Linked DNA regions of Drosophila melanogaster. Each later gene encodes a partner of the first gene's protein in a complex. Each region holds a gene or a part of one and is shown on either strand. Other genes may lie near its edges.

Region 1 (6,509 bases):
TCTCTCGATAAACTTAAATAGACACGACTTTATAAATTGGAATCTTAAATTAAAATCTTATAGTTTAAGATGAGTTTAATGTCTATGCAAACTGAAAATGAAAACAAATTTGCTGACGCAAATTACGTTGAAAGCGTTGTAAATGCAGACATTAGGTTATTATTTGATTTTTTTGTAAAACGATAGTTTCAGAATGACAATCTGAAGTTCTCTTTTGTTTTTAAGTGTTAAGATAAAATGGCAATGAATAAGGATTTCTTTGTTTCCTAATTACCTTAATAAAAGCAATTTCCTATTCTACAAAAATAAGGTTCATTCACCGAAGATAATGTTCTGGCTTCAATGTTTATTCATCTGTGTTTACTAAAATTTATCTTGCCGCGTATATACAATTGTAGTTAAACAAGTTAATTACTGAACCCTAGTTCTTTTTCTTGCTATTAAGCTCCTTCTTCACTCCCTCCAGCTCTTGGCGCACGTTGTTCTTAAACATGTTAACGAAGGATCTACAATTTGGAAAATGCATGTCAGATTGGCGGATTCAGCCAGATGATTCTGGCGATTCTTTCACTCACTTGAAACGCTCTGGCGTCATCTCGTGCAGTCCCTGCTCCCGGGCCAAGTCTTTTGTGCGGTACATCAGGGAAACGACCAACTGGGCAGCGCGTCTCATGGGATAGCTCTCCGCCATGCGCTGGATGAGCTGCTCGTTGTTGGCCAGGTAGCGCATTAGCAGTCGCAGCACCATCTTGCCCTTTTTTTTATTTTGCTGCCGCCTAGAACTCTGTGTCCTTGTATTTGCGAATTAGCTGCTGCTTAAGCTTCAGCTGATTTCGCAGTAGTTCCAGTCTCTGTTGCTGCTCCTCCTTATTGAAATCGATCCCGGGGAGCTGGCGGATTTGCTCGCGTGCCGATTCGAAGCGTTTTTGAAGTTCAAAGATCTACAAATCAAGTATATAGCGGTGGCAACTTATGACGAACCAAGGACTCACCTTGTGGTTGCAATCCTGGGACTCGCGCAGCTTAACGGCGTTCTCCAGAGGATCCTTTTCCACGCTGAAAGACACAAAGACGCCAGGTTATATAAGGTGCGGCATTAATTGCGCACTTGTTGCTAAAATCCGCCGATTTTCGGCATTGTCCGTGCAGGGGCAATGACACCCGGAATCCGCATCCGCGATGACCACTCACCAGCGCACAATGTCGTAGATTATCGGCAGAATCTCAATGTCCAACTGGTCAACCGTCAGATGGCACTGGCCGCCGATTCCGTTGGATGTTTGCGTCTCCTGCGATATGGTCGGCTCGAAGGGGGAGTTCGAAGTCTGAACCAGGCCGTCGGCGGTTAGGATGGGTTTTCTGTCCTCGATCTGATTGTTTGGCGACAAATCCATCATAAAAAACACGAATCGAATTTCCAGCGTCAGAATCAATAGGACCTTACCGACAACACGTAATAATACCAAAGTAATGCCCTCACATTCTCTTAATTCGATTAATATACTAAAGGGAAAAGTAGTAGATGCACAACCTGCTATCGAAGTACGATAGACCGATAGAGCCAGGCAAATGCCGCCTCTGCTTATCGATAACAAGCAACGAATCGTTTAGAATTTATAAAGAAGAAAAACATAAAGCCAACATGAGCGACAGCGGTGTTTTCGCCTTCGTAAGTAGCTGCACAAATAAAAAACTCAATAGATTAAACCTCGTTTAATCTATCTAGGAGCTTGGCGATGACCTAGCCACACGCTGTGGCAATACACTCACTGGCGTCTTTGTGCCGGGCTCACGAATCGCACTCAGCGCCTACCGGCATGTGACGCACAGTTCGCGGGATGAGCCCACAGAGAATGCTGGACAGGTTCCGGTGCTCATCTACATGGCGCAGGAGTCGACGCTGTTCGACGAACCCGTTCTCCGCAGCGTACTCGCCGAGGCGAATGCCACGTTCGCCACGCTGCAACAGTTGGGTTCGCGGGCCACACGTGCCGAGTATGTGAATATATCCCGGGCATACAGGAGCATTGTGCGCTCATGCCTGGAGAAGCTGGAGCAGGCAAAAAAATCGCCGGAGGTTCAGACAGATGAGGCGCGCCTGCAACGCTTATGTGATGCCATCGTTGTGTTCTATGCGGCAGAATGCCTGTGGCATCTCTTCGAGATTCTGTACATTCAGAGCAATCAGCTGGTGGTGCCGCAGCTGCTCGACTGGGCGCGTTTCCACTCGCCGCACGCAGAGGACAGAGCCACGGATCTACTGCTCATGGGAGAGGAGGCCAGCGAATCTGATGACTATTGGAGCATTGTCAAATCACTCATTATGCTGGGCGAAATAGATGTTACGAGAGCAGTTCTCTCGCAGAATCGCAAAGCTGGACAAACGAGCTTCAAGGCGGCCGAACAGATCCTGAAGTCCATGCCAGTGTATCAAGAGGGCTATGCCCTGCAGAAGTTTCACTCGCAGTGGGAGTTCTGGCACGTGGATACGGAACGCAAGATTCAGTCCGGCTTATTTGCCACGGAGCCGGAGCTGGAGCAGTTGATTCGTCTGGTCGCCGGCGACAGCGAGCAGTGGGATGCTGGCATCAAAGAGTCCCAGGATTTCTATGAATACCTGCCAGGATACCTGCTCTTTACCAAGCCCACCTGCAAACCCTTTGAGCTGAAAATAGCGGCAGCCAAATGGCTAAACCGATGGTGTCTTCTCCGGCCGGAAAGAGAGCAGTGCAGCATGAACCGCATGGTTTCTCAGCTTATGGATCACGATCTTAGACTATTTATATACGATGCTCAAAAACTTAACGACACACACTGGTTCTCAACGCATTTGATTGATCTTATCCATCATTGTGGTCAGCTGAAGAGCTATTTCGATCAGAACAACATGTGAGTTTTTTTGTCAGAAGTTATGTTCAATCAATATGCTATATATTTTATGCACCCACAGCGATCTTCCGGCCCTGCGTCACTCAATGATCTATGAGTACGGCAGCTATCTGATGACGTCCCACAATATGTGGCAACTGGGCATCGACTATCTGGACTGTTGCAAGCAGGAGGGTCAGGCGGCTATCGAGCTGCTTTTGCCCCGAATCACTTTGCGCAGCGAGCGGCAAGCCACCAAGCTTATTAACCTGGCCAGGCAGCGCGGGCTCATAAGCGTAGAACGGGAGATCTGCAAGGTGCTTTCAAAGCGATCCTACGATAACGAGCGTTATGGAAACGCCCTGGAATGGGCCATTCGCTCCAAGGATGTGCTGCTGGTTACGGCGGTAGCTGACTTTATTTTAAAGGTAAATATAAACTATTTTTGCATAAGTATTTCATTCAATTTGATTTGTATATTGATCTGTGGCATAGCATTACTCGAAAACTGGCTGCATGCTTTGCCCGGACACCATTGCCAATGTCGGTGGCCGAATGTTTGCCTCACCGCGCTTGGTGTTTCTCTCCAAGTACTTTGAGTTCTATGAGTTCTACCGTACCCGTGATTTTCTTTCTGCCTCCGAGCTGCTGGTGAATCTTTTGGAATCCAAAATTACGCCAGACTAGTAAGTTATTGGGTTTACTACGAACACATTTAAAAGTAACATATATTCTTCCATTAGCTTTTGGCCATCGTTGCTCATCGATTCCATGCCACTGCTAGAGTCCAAAGATCCGAAGATCTTCGCCAAGGAAACGGTGGCCATTCTGCATCACATTGAAACCGATCTGGTGCCCATCATCGAACGCGATGTGTCCAAATATGGAAAAGTATGTCTAGCGTTGCTTGCGTTTTATTGATGTCTAATAATTGGGCTATTCCTTCGCAGCACCACACAGAAACCGTGTTCAAGGACTATCGGGTGGAGAACGTTGACGAAATCATGAACCTCCTGCGCCTGGCCTGCGCACGCAATTTGGCCCGAGCATTGATCATTGAGAACACTTTGCCCGTGGTGTGATTTTGAATGCATTTTTAATGTAATTTATTTTGTATTTTTCGCTTTTCCAATACATCGTAATTTGTTATAGATCGCGCTTGCATTGCTAACTTGTTATTCATACGCATTTTGTTTATATCTTGTGCCTCTTTGCTATGTATTTATTGTACCAACAACACTACTTGACTGGCTGCTGCCCTTTGACTAAAAAGGTAATCCAAGCTGCTGGGGGGCTGGAGGGATGTTCACAGTACGCATTTGTAAAATAAGTGTTCCCGTCGAACGATGTCCGTCCCGGTCAACTATGCTAGTTTGAACGGCGTGGGTAAATCTATAGGATACACTTCTCGGTTATAGGTTAGGCGGGCAAACAAAGGTGCTTAGGCCGAACTTAGAACTTAATATATAAATCAAACACTACGAAATAATTCAGTATGTTAGCTGCACATGGAGGAAGTTGATTACACACGTATGCGACGCACCTAAGAACTATTAAACAACGCCCAGAGTACAAGGGTAGTACACATAGTTTGATGCATATGCGTGGATATATATATATATATAATCTATTATATATCTGTGGGGTATGTATATAATTATCATATATTGTGGCTGTTACTTGTTATGAGAATCGCACGGCCTTGTACAAATGTTCGGTTACTACGTACGGAATTACATTTAAAGTCGCTTGTCTCTTGGCTTGGCCCGCGGACCGCCAACGGCATTGTAAAATGTATCGTTCGCTTGGTAAAAAACAATAACTAAACTAAACCAAACTTAGACGATAGGCCGCCTGGGGGGGGAGTCGCACTGTATACTATCATTCTAATTCTTAACAAACTTCTCTCCTAAACGTTTTGTATGCCAAATCACGCTAGGCAACAGAAAATACTCAAATAATCGCATCCTTTTCACTTTTAAGAAGATTTTAGATTACTTTTTAGGATTCCAATCTCGAACTGACAATGAAGTCGATTGTATAAATGAGTAAATATCAAAGTATATATAAAAGAGACTTTTAAATTGAAATCTTTTGTAAGCTACAATCTAAACTGAATAATCACAATAAACAAAAAAAAAATGAAGACATGTACGACCATAAAATTTTAACATTTTAAAGACAAGAGAACATGAAAGTTGTCAGTTCGGGATGGAGGATCCTGTTGCCCAGCGCGGTCACCGAGGGACTACGCCGCTTGAGTATTTCGCTTATCGCTACGCCCAATATCGGTTATTAATGTAAGTCTGAGTGTAGGTGTCTAATTCTGCTTCGCCGTGCCCGCGGCCGTGGTGGCTGCGGTGGCAGCCGCTATGGCACTGCTGCCCGTTATCGAGCCCAGCCGGGAGAGCGATGGCTCCCGCTTGGGTGGCACGATCGGCTTGGTTGGTATGGGGGGCGGTGCTCCGCGAGCGCCCGCTGGCGGCACCGTAACCGGCGGCACGGCAATGGGAACGGGATGAGGATGCGGTGTTGTTGTCTGGTCGAGGGCAGCTGCCGCAGCCAGTGCGGCATACTTGCCGCCGGGCGCCCGCTGGATGGTGGCCGTCGGCTGCATCTTTGCCGGAGAGGGTGAGGGTGGCGCCACCATGGGCACGGTGACCGTAGCAGCCGTCTCAACTGATGCAGCTACTGCTGCAGCTGTTGCTGCTACTCCAATGCTGCCGCTCGAGTTGCTGTTGCTGCTGGTGGTGGTGTTATTCGTGGTGGTTGTGATGGTGGTAGTGTGGTTGAGCACGGCAGTTAGTGGTGCTATTGCTGCTGTGGCCGTGCCCGTGGGCGCCGTTGCGATTCCAGCGCTCCGGATGTTCTGGCCCGGCGCAATGGAGCGGGCGATGCCGGTCTGTGGTCCCGAGACCGGCATGCTGCTAACCGTGGCTGTTGGCTGCACGATCTTGGCGATGTTCACCATGGGGGGCGTGGCACAGGCGTCGTCTGTAAAAGCGCAGAGAAATGGGATTAGCATTCGGCTTATGACAGCTCCGTAAAACACTAGATTTTCGGATCTCCGAGGCGGATTGGCCTAACCAGAAGCCCATATAGAGCTGCAAAGCCATTGCAGATGAGTTCTGGGAAGGCCTGGCTTGTGTGGAAATGCTTTGGCATGGTCGTGAAAAGTCTACAGACGCCACTGGTGTCAATTGGCTACGTTCTGGCTTTTGTCAGGGTGCTCCAATCGCTGGGGTGCGAGCGTGCGGGGTGGACGTGCGAATGCGTGATCTTTGGGTTGGTGCAACGTGAGGTGCACGAGGAACATCACAAAACAAAAAACAAATCACCTTGCAATTGCGTAACATTTTTTCTAACAAAAGATTTCGGCTTCAAGAGGAGTTCGAAAAAAAAGTAATATATATATATAGAGTTAAAGTTTGTATATAGAAAATTATAAGGAGGGCAACCATATGTATAATTACAACAGCCAGTTTCCAGGTGGAATTGCCTTGTCTGGCTAACTCACCGCTGAACTGTCGCGCCTTGGCGGCGGCCACGGATGAGCCGCTGCCACCCAGTTGCTGCTGCTTTTTCAGAGCCTCGTGCTCGCTCCGTAGGGCGTTGAGTTCCTGCTCCAGCTCCTTGACCCT
Region 2 (6,250 bases), on another chromosome or scaffold:
GTGCTCGTCGAGCAGCGCCTCCGCCTTGAATTCGCGCTCGCACTCCGGACAGATGAACGTCTCCGTGGGCGCGATGTGCGTCTTCTGGTGCAGCAGCAGCGAGCTGTAGTTGATGAATCCCTTGTCGCACTGCACACACTGATGCGGCTTGCGCACCGAATGCGAGCGCATGTGCACCATCAGGCTGCTGGACTGCGTGAAGGCCTTCGGGCAGAGCTCGCACTTGTACGGCTTCTCGCCGCTGTGGATGCGGATGTGCGTGTTCAGGCTGCCGATGTGCGTGAATGTCTTCTGGCAGATGGAGCACTGGAACGGCTTGTTGGTGATGTGCGAGCGCACGTGCTTGGACAGATCGCCGGCGTTGGGAAAGCTCGCCTCGCAGTGCGTGCACTGGAAGCATTTCTGGTTGCCATTCAACGCTGGATCCATCACGGGTGCACCGATGTTGCTCCGCCTTCCGCGCCGCCGCTTGATGGGCGTCGATTGCAGGCCCAATCCCGGGCTAACAGTGGGTGCCGGTGGTAGTAGCTGCTGCAAGGGCGTGACGCTTACGGTCGGCTGCACCATGAATATGGAGGTGGACTCCCGCGGATCTGTCATCTGCAGCTGGAACTCATTGTAGCCCGGACCGGCAACCAGGCCGTGAAGTGGCTGCACTGACTCCTGGCTCTGCTGGGTATTGGAGTTGCTGGTGGTCGGCACCGAGCTGCTTGATGAGCTCGAGTTGCTGGAACTCGAACTGGAGCTGCTGCTGTCGTCGTCGTCATCGTCATCGTCGTCGTCCGACGACGAGGAGCTGTCGGAGCCCGAGGAGGCGCTCCCATCCGACGAGTCGCTGCCATCCTCCGCCAGCTCGCACACCGGCTCGAATATCCAGCTGTAGTCCTCGCTCTCGTCGCCCGGGCTCTCCTGCTCTTGCTGTCCATTGCCCGGCTCATGGGGGTGCAGGGTGTTCATGTGCTGGTACAGCGCCAGCGGATGGACGAAGAACTCCGCACAGCACATGCAGTGGAAGGTGAGATCCGGCGGCTGTGGCTGCTGCGGTTGCTGCTGGGGTGGATTGGGTGCCTGTTGCGGCAGGAGGTGCGTCTGCTGCAGGATTGGCGTGATCGTCAGGGGCAGGTGGTGGTAGCTCTGTTTCAGCTGCACGGCCATCTTGCCAAAAGGCTGTGCAAATCAAACAACAAAAATCACAAGGAACACAAGCGACGAGCGTGTGAACATTTTCTCTATAATAAAAATGCGCGTTTGCGGGGAGAAAAATCAATGCCGTACCTTGGGTGAGATTAGATGCGAAGTGCCGTGGATCAGGGGTTCCGTAGACTACTATTATATCACTGGTGTGTGCTGTTGCTCAGGTTCCGTGCTTTTGTGTTTCTCTCAGGGCTCTCGTCCACATTCGTCCACTGCGTTCCATTTTATGCGCCGCCAGCGAAATGCGAATAACTTGCTTCCTGTTTTCGGTGCTCGCTTGTTTTTGAATTTGGCTGCTCGGTTCCGTGGGTCGCCGGAATCGCGTACCGTCCTCCGACCCGTTGTCTGGTTAGCTGCGACTGCCAGGAGCTGCGACTCGAGCGAATGCAGCGCATCGCCCAATCGCAATTCTGCAGAGCCAAAATCGCAATTGCAAGCGTCTTCGCCGTGCGTACAACAAATAAAAGAAAAATGTTTTATGTTGGGCGGCCCTTGCACGATTGGACGGCAGCATATCGTCATGCAAGCGTTTCGTGCACGTCGCCAGCATGATGACCGATAAACCGCGCAGCTTCAAATTCAAACCGCAATCGATTGTTACATCTTTCGAAGGTTTTAAACATTTAATAATATTTAATTTAATTTCGAGTGCCTAAATCTAAGCAAGTTTTATTATTAGTGTTTAATTTCACTTAACAAGTTGCTAAAATTATTGAATTGAGCCCTAACATCTTAAATAATATTAATATTAAATATAAACTGCTCATCTCGTTCCCCTTGGATTTTCTTTCTTGCCAAACTACAGGCTAGTCAGACTAACAAGTTGGAAAATCCAGAAAGCAAGCAACGTGGATCGTTCCTTTTCAAGTAAATACGAAAAAGGCTACCAAAATGGAAATGGATTACTATCTGCCAGTGTATAACGGATCAAATTCGGTGGACGTGCCGGGGCTGATTGAAAGTCTCAAGCTGAAGGAAACCAGTATATCGCCAATCGTGCTGGATCGCTATCCGCCGTACTCCCCGTTCTATGGCGTGATGGGCGTCGTATTCTCCAGTGTGCTGACCTCCGCTGGAGCGGCCTACGGAACTGCTGTTTCCGGAACTGGAATCGCCGCCACAGCGGTGATGCGTCCCGAGCTGGTGATGAAGTCCATCATTCCGGTGGTCATGGCGGGCATCATTGCCATATACGGTCTGGTGGTATCCGTGCTCCTATCTGGGGAACTAGCGCCTGCTCCCAAATACTCGCTGCCCACCGGCTATGTACACCTGGCCGCTGGACTTTCGGTGGGATTTGCTGGACTGGCTGCCGGATATGCAGTGGGTGAAGTCGGCGAAGTGGGCGTGCGGCACATTGCCCTGCAGCCACGCCTCTTTATCGGCATGATCCTGATCCTTATTTTCGCCGAGGTGCTCGGTCTCTACGGCCTGATCATTGGGATTTATTTGTACACGGTCAACATTAAGTAGCAGAATTTGTTATATCTAAAATATTTAATTCGTTAAGAAACGTTTTTATCGATCTTTAATATTTGAAATGCCTTTTGAATTTCTTTACGCGATTGTGGTACTCATTTCAGGTACGCCGTTGCGGTACGCGATGGAGGTACCCCATACTAATGATTCTACGGAATGCTGGTACCTTATTCTTTAGCAGCTTTGCCGAATTACTAGATATGTAAACAATTTAAATCAATTTGTTTCTTACGAAATTTGCTTGAATTCAGTGAGAATCGCTTATTTACAAGTGTATGTGCAAGGGAGCTTTCTTGCTGTTCCGTCATCTGGTAACACTGAACGCTCCCGGCATTTTTAGCGAATAGCGCGTGAATTTCTGTTTTGATTAAATTAATTGAATTGATGTGCCGTAGCTGATAGCCAAGAAACGCATAGTGCAGCCATGGCCGACAGCCCGTTCCCGAGGAGCAGCCGCAGTGGCCTGCTACGCACGACGCTGAACAGCTCGATGCCGCCGCAAAATCTCTCCCACTCGCTGCTCATCCTCGAGAAGAGCAACGCGGAGCAGAATGAGCTCTCGCTGATGGAGGACACCGGCGATGATCTGGATCGGGGCAAGAGCCGCATGGACGTGCTCTTCCCGCAGTTCTTCGACGTGCTGCAGGCTCAGGGTAACGGGCAGGAGGCATTCGAGGTGATCCAATCGCTGACGCAAGTCTGTCGCGGCGTGGTGGAGCAGCTGGAGCTGGAGATCGATCACGGCATGGGTGGGGAACAGGGCGCGCGGCAACGCGAGTCTATGCTCACCTGGCTGCGACAGGAGATAAACACGTGGCGCCTGCTGCACGCCCTCTTCTACGACCGCATCCTGCTGCAGACGGACAGGCAGGCGGATGATGAGATGCAAGATGGCCCCACGCTCGGCGGCAGCGAGAAGGAGGTCATACAGCAGTTGTACGCCCTCAATGCGACGCTGCGTGAGTACCAGCTGGTGGTGGACTGGCTGGAGGCGTGCTACGACCGGGGGGAGCAACAAAACCCACTCCACGCCCACGATCGTATGATGGCGTGGGAGAACACGCTCTTCCAACTGGAGAACCTGCAGGGCGCCGCCTTTGGCAAGGGCCATAAGATCGTAACGCGTCTGGATCCAGATGCTCCCGTACGCGAGAAACGACCGTTGCACGCCCTCGACGAGGAGGACAACCTGCGCCTGTCCCGCGCCATTTTCGAATTGATACGAGCGGGACGCGTCGACGATGGCCTCAAGTTGTGCAAGCACTTCGGACAGACGTGGCGGGCGGCGATCCTTGAGGGCTGGCGTCTCCACGAGGATCCCAACTTCGAGCAGAATGTCTCGGTGCTGCACGAAAAGCTGCCCATCGAGGGCAATCCCAGGAGGGATATCTGGAAGCGCTGCGCGTGGATGCTGGCCGATTCCAAGAACTATGACGAGTACAGCCGCGCGACGGCGGGTGTCTTCTCCGGCCACTTGGGCTCGCTGAAAACCCTTTTGCACAGCAACTGGCACGATTTGCTCTGGGCCCATCTGAAGGTGCAGATCGACATCCGTGTGGAATCGGAGATACGCGGCTGCTGCCTCAAAAACTACCAACCGATGCCCGATGATTACTGGAACGGCAGGATGACGATGGAGCAGATCTTCGAGGAACTGAACGTTGCCAAGGATGCGTCGGTGCGGGATTTCGCCCAAAGTCAACTGGGCATTATCCAGCGTCATTTAATCCTGGATACTTGCGGCGAGCTGATCCAACACATGGTGCGCTGGGTGGAGAAGGATACCTCCCAACAATCGCCCCATCAATTGCGCTTTATGGCCCACATAGTGCTCTTCCTGCGTCAAATCGGCCGTGTGGAGCAGGAGCGACAGGCGGAGAAGATCGTAGCCGCATATGTGGAGGCATTGATTGCCAGGGGCGAACCGCAGCTAATAGCCTACTATACTGCATCGCTTTCGAATCCGCTGCAGGTTCAGCTCTACTCGCGGTTTCTGGAGCAAGTGGAGCAGAAGCGTCCGCGGGAGCTAGCTGTGGATGCCGCCCTGCAGGCGGGCTTGGATGTGGAACAGATCACACGCGTCACCGTGCAGAATATTCGCCTCGCACATCAGCCACTCGGGGAATTCGGTGAGCCGCAGTCCGGCGAGATCTCTGCAATCGATCAGCGCAAGATCTCAGCATTGGAGTGGCTAATCCATTTGCCGGAGCAGCGCGGTGAGTTGCTGTGGCAGGCCAACGCCATGATACGCACCTATCTGGCCAGCAGCAAGGTGGAGTGCATGCGCCAGACCTTCCGCATGGTGCCGGCCGACATAGTGCAGCAACTAGTCAGCTTGTACGGCTCGGTGGACAACATACCACCGCGTGAGGAGTGCTGCCTGAAGGAGTATCTCTGCTACAAGGCGTATCTGTCTGGCGTCGACAGTTTCGTCGAATGGAACCGCCTGCAGCAGAACAGGCCCAAGAAGCCACAGACTTCACACGCAGCTTCCTCGCAGGACAACTTCACGGAGCGCATGGCGAGTGAGCGCAAGGAGCAGGCTCACCGATCGGAAGTCGTGCGCTGGGAGCACAAGGTTAAGGAGCAGGCCAAGCGTAAGTGGATCGCATACCCATTAATGAGATCTTTTGGCATATAACCCGCATTCTTTCCCTGCAGAAACCATCGAACTCCTGTACAATGTGCTCATGTTCCCGGACAAGGGTTGGCTGGTGGATCCGTTCATCGCCAAGCTGCCCGAGAACGCCGTGCAGCTGAGCTGGGATCATCGCCTACTGCAGATGGAGAAATTGCGCTCCATCTGCATTCCTGAGATCGCCCTGTTTCTGAACGAAGTGATGTTCAAGTCGGGAGACTTTGCGGGTTGCGTGCGCCTGGCAGATGAAATATCCAGCGAGAATCGGCAGTTGTACAAAGTCTATACGAAGCACAAGCTGGCAGAGCTTCTGGCCAAGATCGCGGACGCCTCCCTGGAGCTGCTCAACTCGAAACTGGATCCATGGGGCTATCCTATAACAACTTAGCAATCCTAGTACATTTGTGTGTTTTGCGATTACATTCTAACTTTAAACGTTTATTATTTATTCACTGTTCAATTATACAACTAAGGAGGGGGACAAATGGGAGGTAGGTAGGATGGAGGGCTTAGGAGTTGTTGTCCACGGCGGCGGCGGAGGCGTTGTTCTCGTCGCACCCGTTGCTATGCTTTAGTAGGTAGGAGGCCAGGAACTGTATGGGATCCGTGGGCCGTTCGCGAGCCAGGGCCTGCATTCCGTGGAGCAGAACCGGCGCCACCGTCTGGTCGAGGTACTGTCGCGTGGGCATGTTGTTTGTCTCGCTACTGGGCTTCTTGGCCACCGCCGGCTGCTGTTGCTGCTGCGCCACTGGATTTGTGGACTGGCCAACGGCAATGGCTCCGGATGGAGGAGCTCCCGGCGCAGCGGTCGGGTTTGCTTGCGCATTGCTGCTTGCATTTGGCTCCTTGCCAGCTTCTGCCGGCGGATTTGTTGTGGGCGCTGGTGAGATGGGTGCGTCGGTCTTGGCCTCCATGGCAATGTGTTCCTTTTGTTCAGCA
Region 3 (8,730 bases), 5.5 Mb from region 1:
CAGTTCGTCCTCCAAGAACGCGTCGCCCGCCTGTTGAGCGGGATACAAACGCTTTCGGCCATCCAAGCTCGTCGTCATGGCTGCACCTTGAGCTGCCGCAATGGGACTCAGATCGCTGCTCATGTCAAAGTTTTGCGGTGGAGGAGTTCGCTGCTGTTGCTGCAGATGCAGTCTGCGTACGACATTAACTCGCAGTTCGTTATTTGTGTTGCTGCGGCGCACAATTTCTGAGCTGCGGGAAGAACTGCTTGAACTCCTCACTGGGTCCACGCACTTCAGCTTACAGAGCCCGTGTTTTCGTCGTAGCCAGGGACTACGGTTCTCTTTGTAGTCTAATATCACCTTGCGGCGCACGAACTCGTTGAAGATTAACAACTCGTTGCTGATGTCCCGACGCACGATTTGCTTCCAGAGCGTTTCGAGGTTCGGTGAGCGAATTATACAGATGGCTTGCGAAGCGACCAGCATGAGCAGATGCTCCAATGCAAGCAAACAAAGCTGGCCGTCCATGTTGGAGAGCAGCTCACTGGCTGGACAGGTTCCGGTTGAAATCGAGACATTGGACAGAGGCTTGGAGAAGGTGCGGTTGGTTTGGTTGCCTACACAAACTTCTGGATCATCGTTGTCCCCGGAATGCTCAACGTTGGGCAGTGAGTTTAATGGCACCTCACTGAAGCCATGATTTTGCTGATGTTTTGAAAATAATTAGAACAGAATGGACACACTTATAATGCCACATATACATACCATATTCAAGGCCTTTACGTATATGTTTACCAAGTTGAGGACGATTCCAAATGTGAGCGTTAAGTTCTCTTCGTTCAACTTAGGTGCACCAAACTTAACGTCTAGTAAGATTGAGTGTTTGGAGGGCTCATATGCACTGCAGCACAGTAGTTCCATTAAATCCGGACTAAATCTAAGCAAGGCTTTAACGCAAGAAATTATTATATCCGTGAGGCTGTTATAAAATGGAAATATTTAGTCTAGTATAACAACATTATTCAAGTTAACTTACTCATTGCAGGCGGAGATAAGTTCATCGTCAACGATTAGAGCCTCTGTGCTGCGCAGAATTTCTAGCTGGGAGCGTCGACCAGCCAGAAGACACTTTAAGTTTTTTTGCTGGTGAAACAAAGATGAGGTGTGGCACAGCAAACTCTGAACTGCACGCTGTGGATTTCAGTTAAGCGATTAAAATATTATTTAGTTGAACAACTAAAACAGAACCCACCATTAGGTTAGCAAGCGACAGATCGCTGTCTTGCTTCCACTCTTTGTGGTGCTCCGTCAAACTGGCGACTAAGTTAACAGCAGCCTTGATTAAGTACATGGCTGACGGTTCCAAGGATTGTTTGCTCAATAACAATGCATCCTCCAGGAAAACAGCATGAATGCCCACAAATTGAAAAGCATCTTCAAGAAAGCACTTCTTGTGCTTCTCGTAAATGATGGTAACAAGCTCAATACCTCTGGCGTATACAGGCCACCACTGCTCTACGGTCCAACCTTCTGCATCCGCAGCCGTCGTCTTAGTAAACTCGTGTTTTGACTGCAAAAGTTCTCTGGGAGGCAACAGTTTCAGCCACAAGTATTCTCCCACATCGCAATGCAGAAACTCAACTGAACAGTGGCCCTTGGCAAATACAATGAGCACATCCAGCAGCTGCACACTTAGAACTTGTTTGCTAAACAATGGAAGGGTTCTAGACACACAGCGCACGAGCCGTTGAAACAAACGCACCGACACAAATGGCAGATCCCAGTTTCCGGGACCGTCGTTGTGGAATATGGTAGCGACAGCCTTTAGCAAATTCAGGCAGAGAATAAGTGAGTTGGTGGATGTCTTGCTGTCTGAACTGTCCGAATTATTGAGGCCCTGCGATTTCTCCAGGCTCACCGAGTTCTCCATGTGCTGCAGTTCGCTGCAAATGATGCCTACGACTGAGTTGAGAAAACGCAAGGCTATGGACGAGTCCCTGATTAGCAGGTCTGTGTATAGATGTGTGCACTTGGTCACAATGGCCAGGCATGCCTCTTTGGCCCTTACGTGCTGATCCTCATAGCACGCACAGATGCGGTTCATCAGTTGCAACAGTAGGTCCATTAGTGTCTGTTCCTCCTCTAAACTGTCTGTGTACGCGTGCTTAAATTCCAGTAAGATGAATACATACAGTTCAGCCAGTATGATGAACGGCCGCATGTCCTCCAAATAATTTGAGCGATCAACCAGGACAACCAGACACTTCTGCGCCATTAGCTTAAACTGCGACTCGGGTATGGTCACGAACTTTGGCTGTTTCTTTAGCAAAATTACAATAAGATCCTTAAAAGCCTGCAGGCAACAGATCCAGTCGGGCAAATGGTCGGAAGAACTCAAATTTTTTACAGCCGGAACCTTGGGCATGTTAAAGACGTAATTAAGCCAAGGTCCAAAGTTCTTCTGTTCAAAGAACTTATTCATGACGTCAAGCAAAGCGGCATTGTTTCCATTTCCCGTATAGACTTCAATGGATATAATATTTAGAAGCTGAGTGTAGATTCGTAAATTTGGCTGTAGCTCGGAAAAGAGCGGCGAACAGAGTTTTTTCCAAAACTGTTTATCCTTCACTAGATCATCCACTAGCATTTGCAGATTATGTTTCCACATTGAGTGGAAGATGGTCATGATCTTAGCGGGCAAGGCCTGTTGAATGGTTAATGGATCCACTTGAAGGGCGTCCAGAAAGTCTCTCATATAAGTGACAATACTCTCGCCAATATTGGGAACACAATCCTTACTGAAAAATGACCGGGAACGTTTATCAAGGGCATAGTTAACCTTGAAAAATGCCTCGGTAACACCCGGTTGCTTGGCAATGCATGCGTCCACCAGCTCAAGGATGGCTATCTTTATGGAATCACTTTCTAGCTCATCAGGCAACTTCTGCATAAACGTCAATCGGATTTGATCAGCCTCCATGTCCAGACAGGCCAAGAGAGACATATTGAACTGGAGAGCGATTCTTTTCAGCAGGCGGCAAGACAGAATCGGTAGCCATCTATCAAATATGTTGCTCATGTAACTGCATACTGTAGGTATGATCCGCAGAGTATCACGCTGTTTGGGTTGTGTGTATATCAACGCCTCCAGCGGGGAAAGGGTCTCACTGTTTCCATATACCTCTTCTTTAAGGCGCAGTAACTGCATCAGGATACGCATGGATAGACGGACTAACATCATTAAGCCGTGAGGTTGCTGCTGCATCCAATTTGTCTCTAGCTCCATGGTGTACTGGACATAAGCATTGCCCACACCAACAAATCTAAAATATACATTTTATTTAAATTTATTCTTGGTTGGAGTTACGGTAGCTCTTACCTCAAAAGAATCAGACCATTTTCCAAATTTAGAAGGGAATAGACGCACACCTTTACCAAAAGTTCGCGTTGCTTGCAATTAGATTCTTTAGCAGTGTTAAACAAGTCCAGGATGTCGCATATAAAGCTAAGAATCTCGAAGTAGATCTTGTTTCTCTCCACTTGAGAGCTAAAGTGCCAGGTGTGCAAGTGCGGGAAAACATCCTTTAACAGGAATATAAGGCCGGGAATCTCCATCTGGATTTGGCGATTCCGTTTCAGGTTGGAGTACGCTCGCAGGAACCCAATGTATGAAAGCAAGAATTCGTAGCGCTCCCTTTTCTTCTCCACATTATCAATGACGGAGCCTAAAAAGCGCGACTCAAAGCCCACTCCATTGGCATTGGCATACATCTTGAAGTCGTAGTGAGATCCCGGGCTTACTGTTGGCAAGATGTGTAGGTTGCTTATCCGCGAAAAGATTTCCTCGTCTACCAACGGCAGCAGCGCAGTGCAAACATTGAGACAGCTAGACAAAAGTCCAACCGGTGGGTATTGAACGCTTTTGAACGTGTGCAGCAGATCAACGCACATCTCGGTAGGATGCACCATTTCGGCGCTGATGCCGGATATCGATTGACTGAGCTTAACGGCACTTTCCAAAAATCTTAAACCAGCTTCTACATTGCGTATGCGTTCGCTCGATTCAAAGTCACCATGCAGGTGACCCGTCTCGCGTAGCAGGCAGTTAATTTCGTGGTGCAGCGCGTCAAAGTAGTTTACCGGGAAACGAAAGTGCATAAAGCAGCCGGACGGATGTTGGATGGCTGTGCAACTAGTTCCTGCGGGTATGGTAAAATCAATTTGCTGAAATGGTTGCACGCTGGCCAGGAGCTCGAATTCATTTGTGTCCACTTCTCTGAGTTTGTGCTGACTTTCGTCGTAACGAAGAGCCAATATGGGCAAAGCCTCTAGTTGGCTCTTGACCTGCAAGATTGTTAAAATAATTTTAACTGATGCCTTTGAGTGTACAAGTATTGGCTTACATAGTTGCCTTGTCCCGCTTTTGTCAGTGACAGTGCCAGTTTGGACAGATGTGTTAATTCTAGAGGGAAGTTCTCTAAAAGAGTTTTGTACAGCGAACACGGACCATCATCTAGATAAATGTAAAGTTGTTCGTTCTAAACTAATTTTTTCGGTTAAGCTCTTTTGATTATATGATACTGACCTTCCCGACTGCAAAAGTCTTTAGCTAAGTGTGGCCATGAGACAAGTTCGCAGAGCAATTCGTAAATGCCCTCATACCGAGCGCAGCTGCCATCGCCGTCGAAGAGGTCGCACAGATATCCAACCTGGTTGTATATGGTTCTTCGCACAATCCGTGACAGCATAGAGTCATCGGCGTACATAGAATGTCTGGCAATTAGGTGCAGTTGGACAAAACACTTAAGATCCACGGCTCGCTTGCCCAGCTGCCGACAGCGGAGCAAGCTGGAGGCATCGTCGGCATCGTTGGTGCCTCGCAAGCGAAGCAGCATCCACGCTAGGAGCAAAGGGCCATGCTCTGGTCTGTGGTACATGCTGGCAATATCAACCTGCAGATCCTCTATAAGCTTTTCAATTAGATCGGAATGCTTCTCGGGCTTCTCAAAGTCGAGGCACTTTAAAACTAACATTAGCTCTGAGTAAGAAAGGCTTCGAATAATCTCCTGATGGTAAGGTTGGCTGTCATCCAGATAACTTTGCATCTTTCCAAAGGAGTGTTGCTTGCAGGCGGCAAATATTCTCTTTATCTGCTCCAACCCCATGGGCAGGTGTTCCGCTAGCACCAGAAGGATGTGCAGCACCTCGTTGATCTCACGAGCATTTCGCTCCGACCAGGCAACTAAGCGTTCCGCAGAGTGGAAGCATTCTCCCGCCATTAGCTTTCTGGGTGGGACTTCGCAAATAAGGCTCTCCAGTTGGTCTAGGTATGAATCTCTAAGGCGGGGGATGGTTATCTTTTCGACCACGGCGCGATACTCCCGGTGATAGGGATGATTCGGTACCTGGTGAAAGACGATAAGATTCTTAACAATCTTGAGGACAACCATGCGTTCCAGGGAGTAGTAATGCCGTATGTCTTCGTGCAGTTTGGCCATATTCGTTTCGGTAGAGATTAGTTGGGTAAGGAGACTCGCCGATCCACGGTACTCCTGCGTAAGGTAGTAGCAAAGGATTTCCCAGCACTGGGCGGATTCTAGATCCAACAGATCCTGCAGTCGTTCGGTGAAGGGCAGCAGCTTTTCCTGCTTTTTCTCTTTGAGCAACGTGCCCAGCTCGAGGCTGGAGGCATTCTTGGGCTTAAATTGGAGCACTCCAGCCTGCAATTCAGAAGCCACGTTCATCAGCTCCTCACGTACAGTATCCTGCGGCGTCTCATAGTGGATTCCTGAGACCATCGGCCACAGGCGCTTCCAATCGGTGCTACATGGCAAATCGAAGGATTTTATTTAGTCATTCAATATTGTCGCACTGCCGATACTCACATCACGCTCTTTTCCACCGCAGGCATTGTCTAGGCTCTGTCTCTTAACAACTACAATAAAAAATTATTTAATAACAAATGTATTCTGTTCCACGCGCAAATTCGCGGCGTTGGAGTTGCCACCTAGCACAATAAAATGCCGGGACAATCAGCTGGTAACACCGAAGGTGTATCGATAAAACGATAGTTCTTGTTTTAAAAAGCCAGTTAGAAAATTGTGATACAGTACTTTATACATTTTCTTTAGCTTACTAAATCTTACTTAAATCAAGGTATGACATCTTAGATCTGATGATCGCTTATAGATTTATACAAATAAAATATACATGGAAAGCACGTGTGCGCCCCATTATTTATCTATTATTGTAGCATTACAGTTAAATTGGTATATATTTCACGCGAATAGGTTTAGAAACCTATTTTATAGGTTTCAAATATAGACGTTCGCATGTGGCCCTTCAATCATAACTTGACACATGCATTTAGCATTCAGATCTTGATATTTCCCAAATATTTCATAAATAGCCTTCCAATCCAGCCGGACTAGAACTATTTAGGTTAGACTTTCCAATCACATAAAGCCATTCCAGTGAGGCTGTGGCTGCGGCTAACAGACCTGCGAAGTCAGAGTGCAAAGTGCGCAGATGCTGCACTCCGGCGCCCACTGCACCGCCCAGCCACCCAACCACGCCATTCTAGAGGCCCATTTCTTGGAAACTAATACCACTACTCCTCGGCTAGCCGCAGCCTCCCATCTTTTCCAGATCTAAGAGCGAGCGAGAGAGGAGCGGAGAAGGCGCGAGAGAGTAGGCGCACTCGAAGTTCACGTTCACGGCGCCTGGAAGCTGCAGCCCGAAAATTGTCCTGTTAGTACGAGAAAACTATTGACAGGCGAAAGGTCTAAAATTGCTCATATTCTGGCAGAAAAGGCAGATTGGACTTCAAAAGTCTGATAGCCGCAATGGCTCAAGTTCAGCTCAACGCAGGAAATGGGCAAGCCCCTAGCAACGGAAATAATGTCGAGGATAATGAACGTAAGTCTGCCGATTGGCAATTGTGAAATCATAATAGAAAATTGAGTGATTGCCCGGAAAGTGCACAAGTGTTGGTCTGCACAGTCCTAGTGGAAGGACATATGTGCATACCTACGCACATAGTGTGTGTCATGTATCAGGATATATGTAGGTATATATGTATGTATCATAAAGGTGTATGTCAGCAGCAGCTAGCATCTTTGACATAGCTAGGATGCTTTTTGGCCTGGCGTTGGGTGATAACTTAAACGGGAGAGCGAGCATGAGAGCAGGATAACAAAGAGAGAGAAATGTCTGAAAGGATGCTGCGAGAGCGCCAGAGATGCCACTGCTGCCCAAAAGCAACAAGTTTTTGAACTTAAGCTAAATCAGATAAGGCTAGAACTACCTCGATTTCGTTAGTTAATTTCGTAGTGTATAAAGGGGTATCAAATATAATTATTATAATCTGTAAGCTTTTATATTATTCAAAACAAGGACAATAATTAAAGGTAACTTATTTCTTTTATTTCCATAGCCTATCAAATAAGTGACGATGATTTGGATGACCTGGATGATGATTGCTTGCTCGAGGAGGCAGATACCTCAGGGGCAGGCAATAATGTGGGACGTGGTCCTTACGAGCGTGCTTGGACCACAGAGGCCACCAGGGCATTGATTCACATACGCGGTCCCATGGAGGGTAGCTTTACAGAGGGCAGGTGAGCAAGGTTTTTATTCCACCGTAAAGACATCTTTGTAAAAGTAACTCCCTTACAGACAAAAACGGACTGCTCTTTGGCTGCACTGCACCCGGCAACTACAGCGACTGGGATTTCGCTACTCCGCCGCAAAGGTGCAGAAGAAGTGGCATAACATCCTCATCACCTACAACAAGAATCTGAACAAAAAATACGTATCCGGCTATGTGCACTGGGAGTTCTTCGAGGAGATGTTCAAGTATCTGCAGGGCAAGAAGGCTGACTTTGATATGCAGTTGCCACAACAGACTTCAAATGCGCCACAAGCTCCACATTCGGCTAATGGGCAAAACCCGAATCCGGGTATTCCCCAGCAACCTTTACAGCTTCAACCTACTCCGGTGAGCCTAAAGCCGGGAACACCCCAAATGCAGGTGCAACTTCCACCCCAGACTGCGGCCAAGGACAGCCAGCCGTATATTACACCTGTGGATCAGGTCCTGCTGCAGGCCCAGATGAATCTGGACAGCAAGTCCAACGATGAGTTCGATGAGGATAGCAACAGCATGTCGGAGGTAGTCCGTCAACCCAAGATGGAGTACGATGGCGATCAAGTTGCGGAGGCTGAACGTACAAACGATAGCAGCCAACATCTGGAAGTTAATGGCAAGCTCTACGATCTGGCACGACCCATGGGCTCGCACCAAGCTTCTGGCATCCCCGATGACATCTGGTGGAAGGACTACTTTGAAAGAAAACTGGAAGTGGAGCGGGAGAAGATAGAGCTACAACGGAGTTTGCAGCGCGAACAGGTGCAGATCCAAAAAATGTCACTGGTGCAGCAGGAGCGGATTGAGCGCATGAAGATCGATGCCATCAACAGCCTGACGGGCACGCTGCAAAAGTTGGTGGAGGCCAAGTGCCGCCGGGCCTAAGATGAATCTGTTCCCTCCCAGTAAATTTCGATAACTTTAGGCTTCGATTCGTCTGTATCTAGTTGGGTGTGTAAATACAATTTCGGCTAACTAAAACACTCTACGGCTGCCAGTCTATCTCGAAAATGCTAGCCAGGGAGGTCAGCTTTCCGTGGGGTTTCTCCAGACCATAACTTAGGCTCCAGATATCCGTGGTAAAGATCAGACCTTCTCCT

Evidence for each region. The genes of interacting proteins can lie anywhere in the genome.
Region 2: Nup75 (region 1) and Nup107 share a complex: the UniProt entries of both Drosophila melanogaster proteins name them as parts of the nuclear pore complex.
Region 3: Nup75 (region 1) and Nup188 share a complex: the UniProt entries of both Drosophila melanogaster proteins name them as parts of the nuclear pore complex.

Annotation. Positions count from the first base shown.
Region 1 is NT_033778.4:18,162,205-18,168,713, reverse strand, and holds Nup75 (nucleoporin 75kD), read left to right. Parts: upstream 1-1,573; 5' UTR 1,574-1,642; coding exon 1,643-1,669; intron 1,670-1,726; coding exon 1,727-2,889; intron 2,890-2,950; coding exon 2,951-3,296; intron 3,297-3,363; coding exon 3,364-3,554; intron 3,555-3,611; coding exon 3,612-3,759; intron 3,760-3,818; coding exon 3,819-3,950; 3' UTR 3,951-4,020; downstream 4,021-6,509. Other genes in the region: CG42518 (uncharacterized protein), read right to left, coding at 422-506, 576-748; MED9 (mediator complex subunit 9), read right to left, coding at 777-941, 993-1,056, 1,192-1,397; Naus (nausicaa), read right to left, coding at 5,189-5,862, 6,386-6,507. UniProt on the Drosophila melanogaster protein: Component of the nuclear pore complex (NPC) that seems to be required for NPC assembly and maintenance. Required for nuclear import of phosphorylated Mad via importin msk.
Region 2 is NT_033779.5:10,732,793-10,739,042, reverse strand, and holds Nup107 (nucleoporin 107kD), read left to right. Parts: upstream 1-2,971; 5' UTR 2,972-3,097; coding exon 3,098-5,270; intron 5,271-5,334; coding exon 5,335-5,699; 3' UTR 5,700-5,750; downstream 5,751-6,250. Other genes in the region: CG12299 (uncharacterized protein), read right to left, coding at 1-1,155; Vha16-5 (vacuolar H[+] ATPase 16kD subunit 5), read left to right, coding at 2,086-2,667; Dpy-30L1 (Dpy-30-like 1), read right to left, coding at 5,821-6,225. UniProt on the Drosophila melanogaster protein: Plays a role in nuclear pore complex (NPC) assembly and maintenance. Required for nuclear import of Mad. Mediates the association between the nuclear pore complex and a subset of active chromatin regions adjacent to lamin-associated domains.
Region 3 is NT_033778.4:12,680,180-12,688,909, forward strand, and holds the start of Nup188 (nucleoporin 188kDa), read right to left. Parts: upstream 6,001-8,730; 5' UTR 5,894-6,000; coding exon 5,868-5,893; intron 5,806-5,867; coding exon 4,568-5,805; intron 4,496-4,567; coding exon 4,386-4,495; intron 4,327-4,385; coding exon 3,362-4,326; intron 3,306-3,361; coding exon 1,235-3,305; intron 1,174-1,234; coding exon 1,019-1,173; intron 962-1,018; coding exon 748-961; intron 688-747; coding exon 1-687. Other genes in the region: CG13148 (uncharacterized protein), read left to right, coding at 6,828-6,900, 7,418-7,601, 7,660-8,515; CG30053 (uncharacterized protein), read right to left, coding at 8,616-8,730. UniProt on the Drosophila melanogaster protein: Component of the nuclear pore complex (NPC), a complex required for the trafficking across the nuclear envelope. Required for proper protein transport into the nucleus.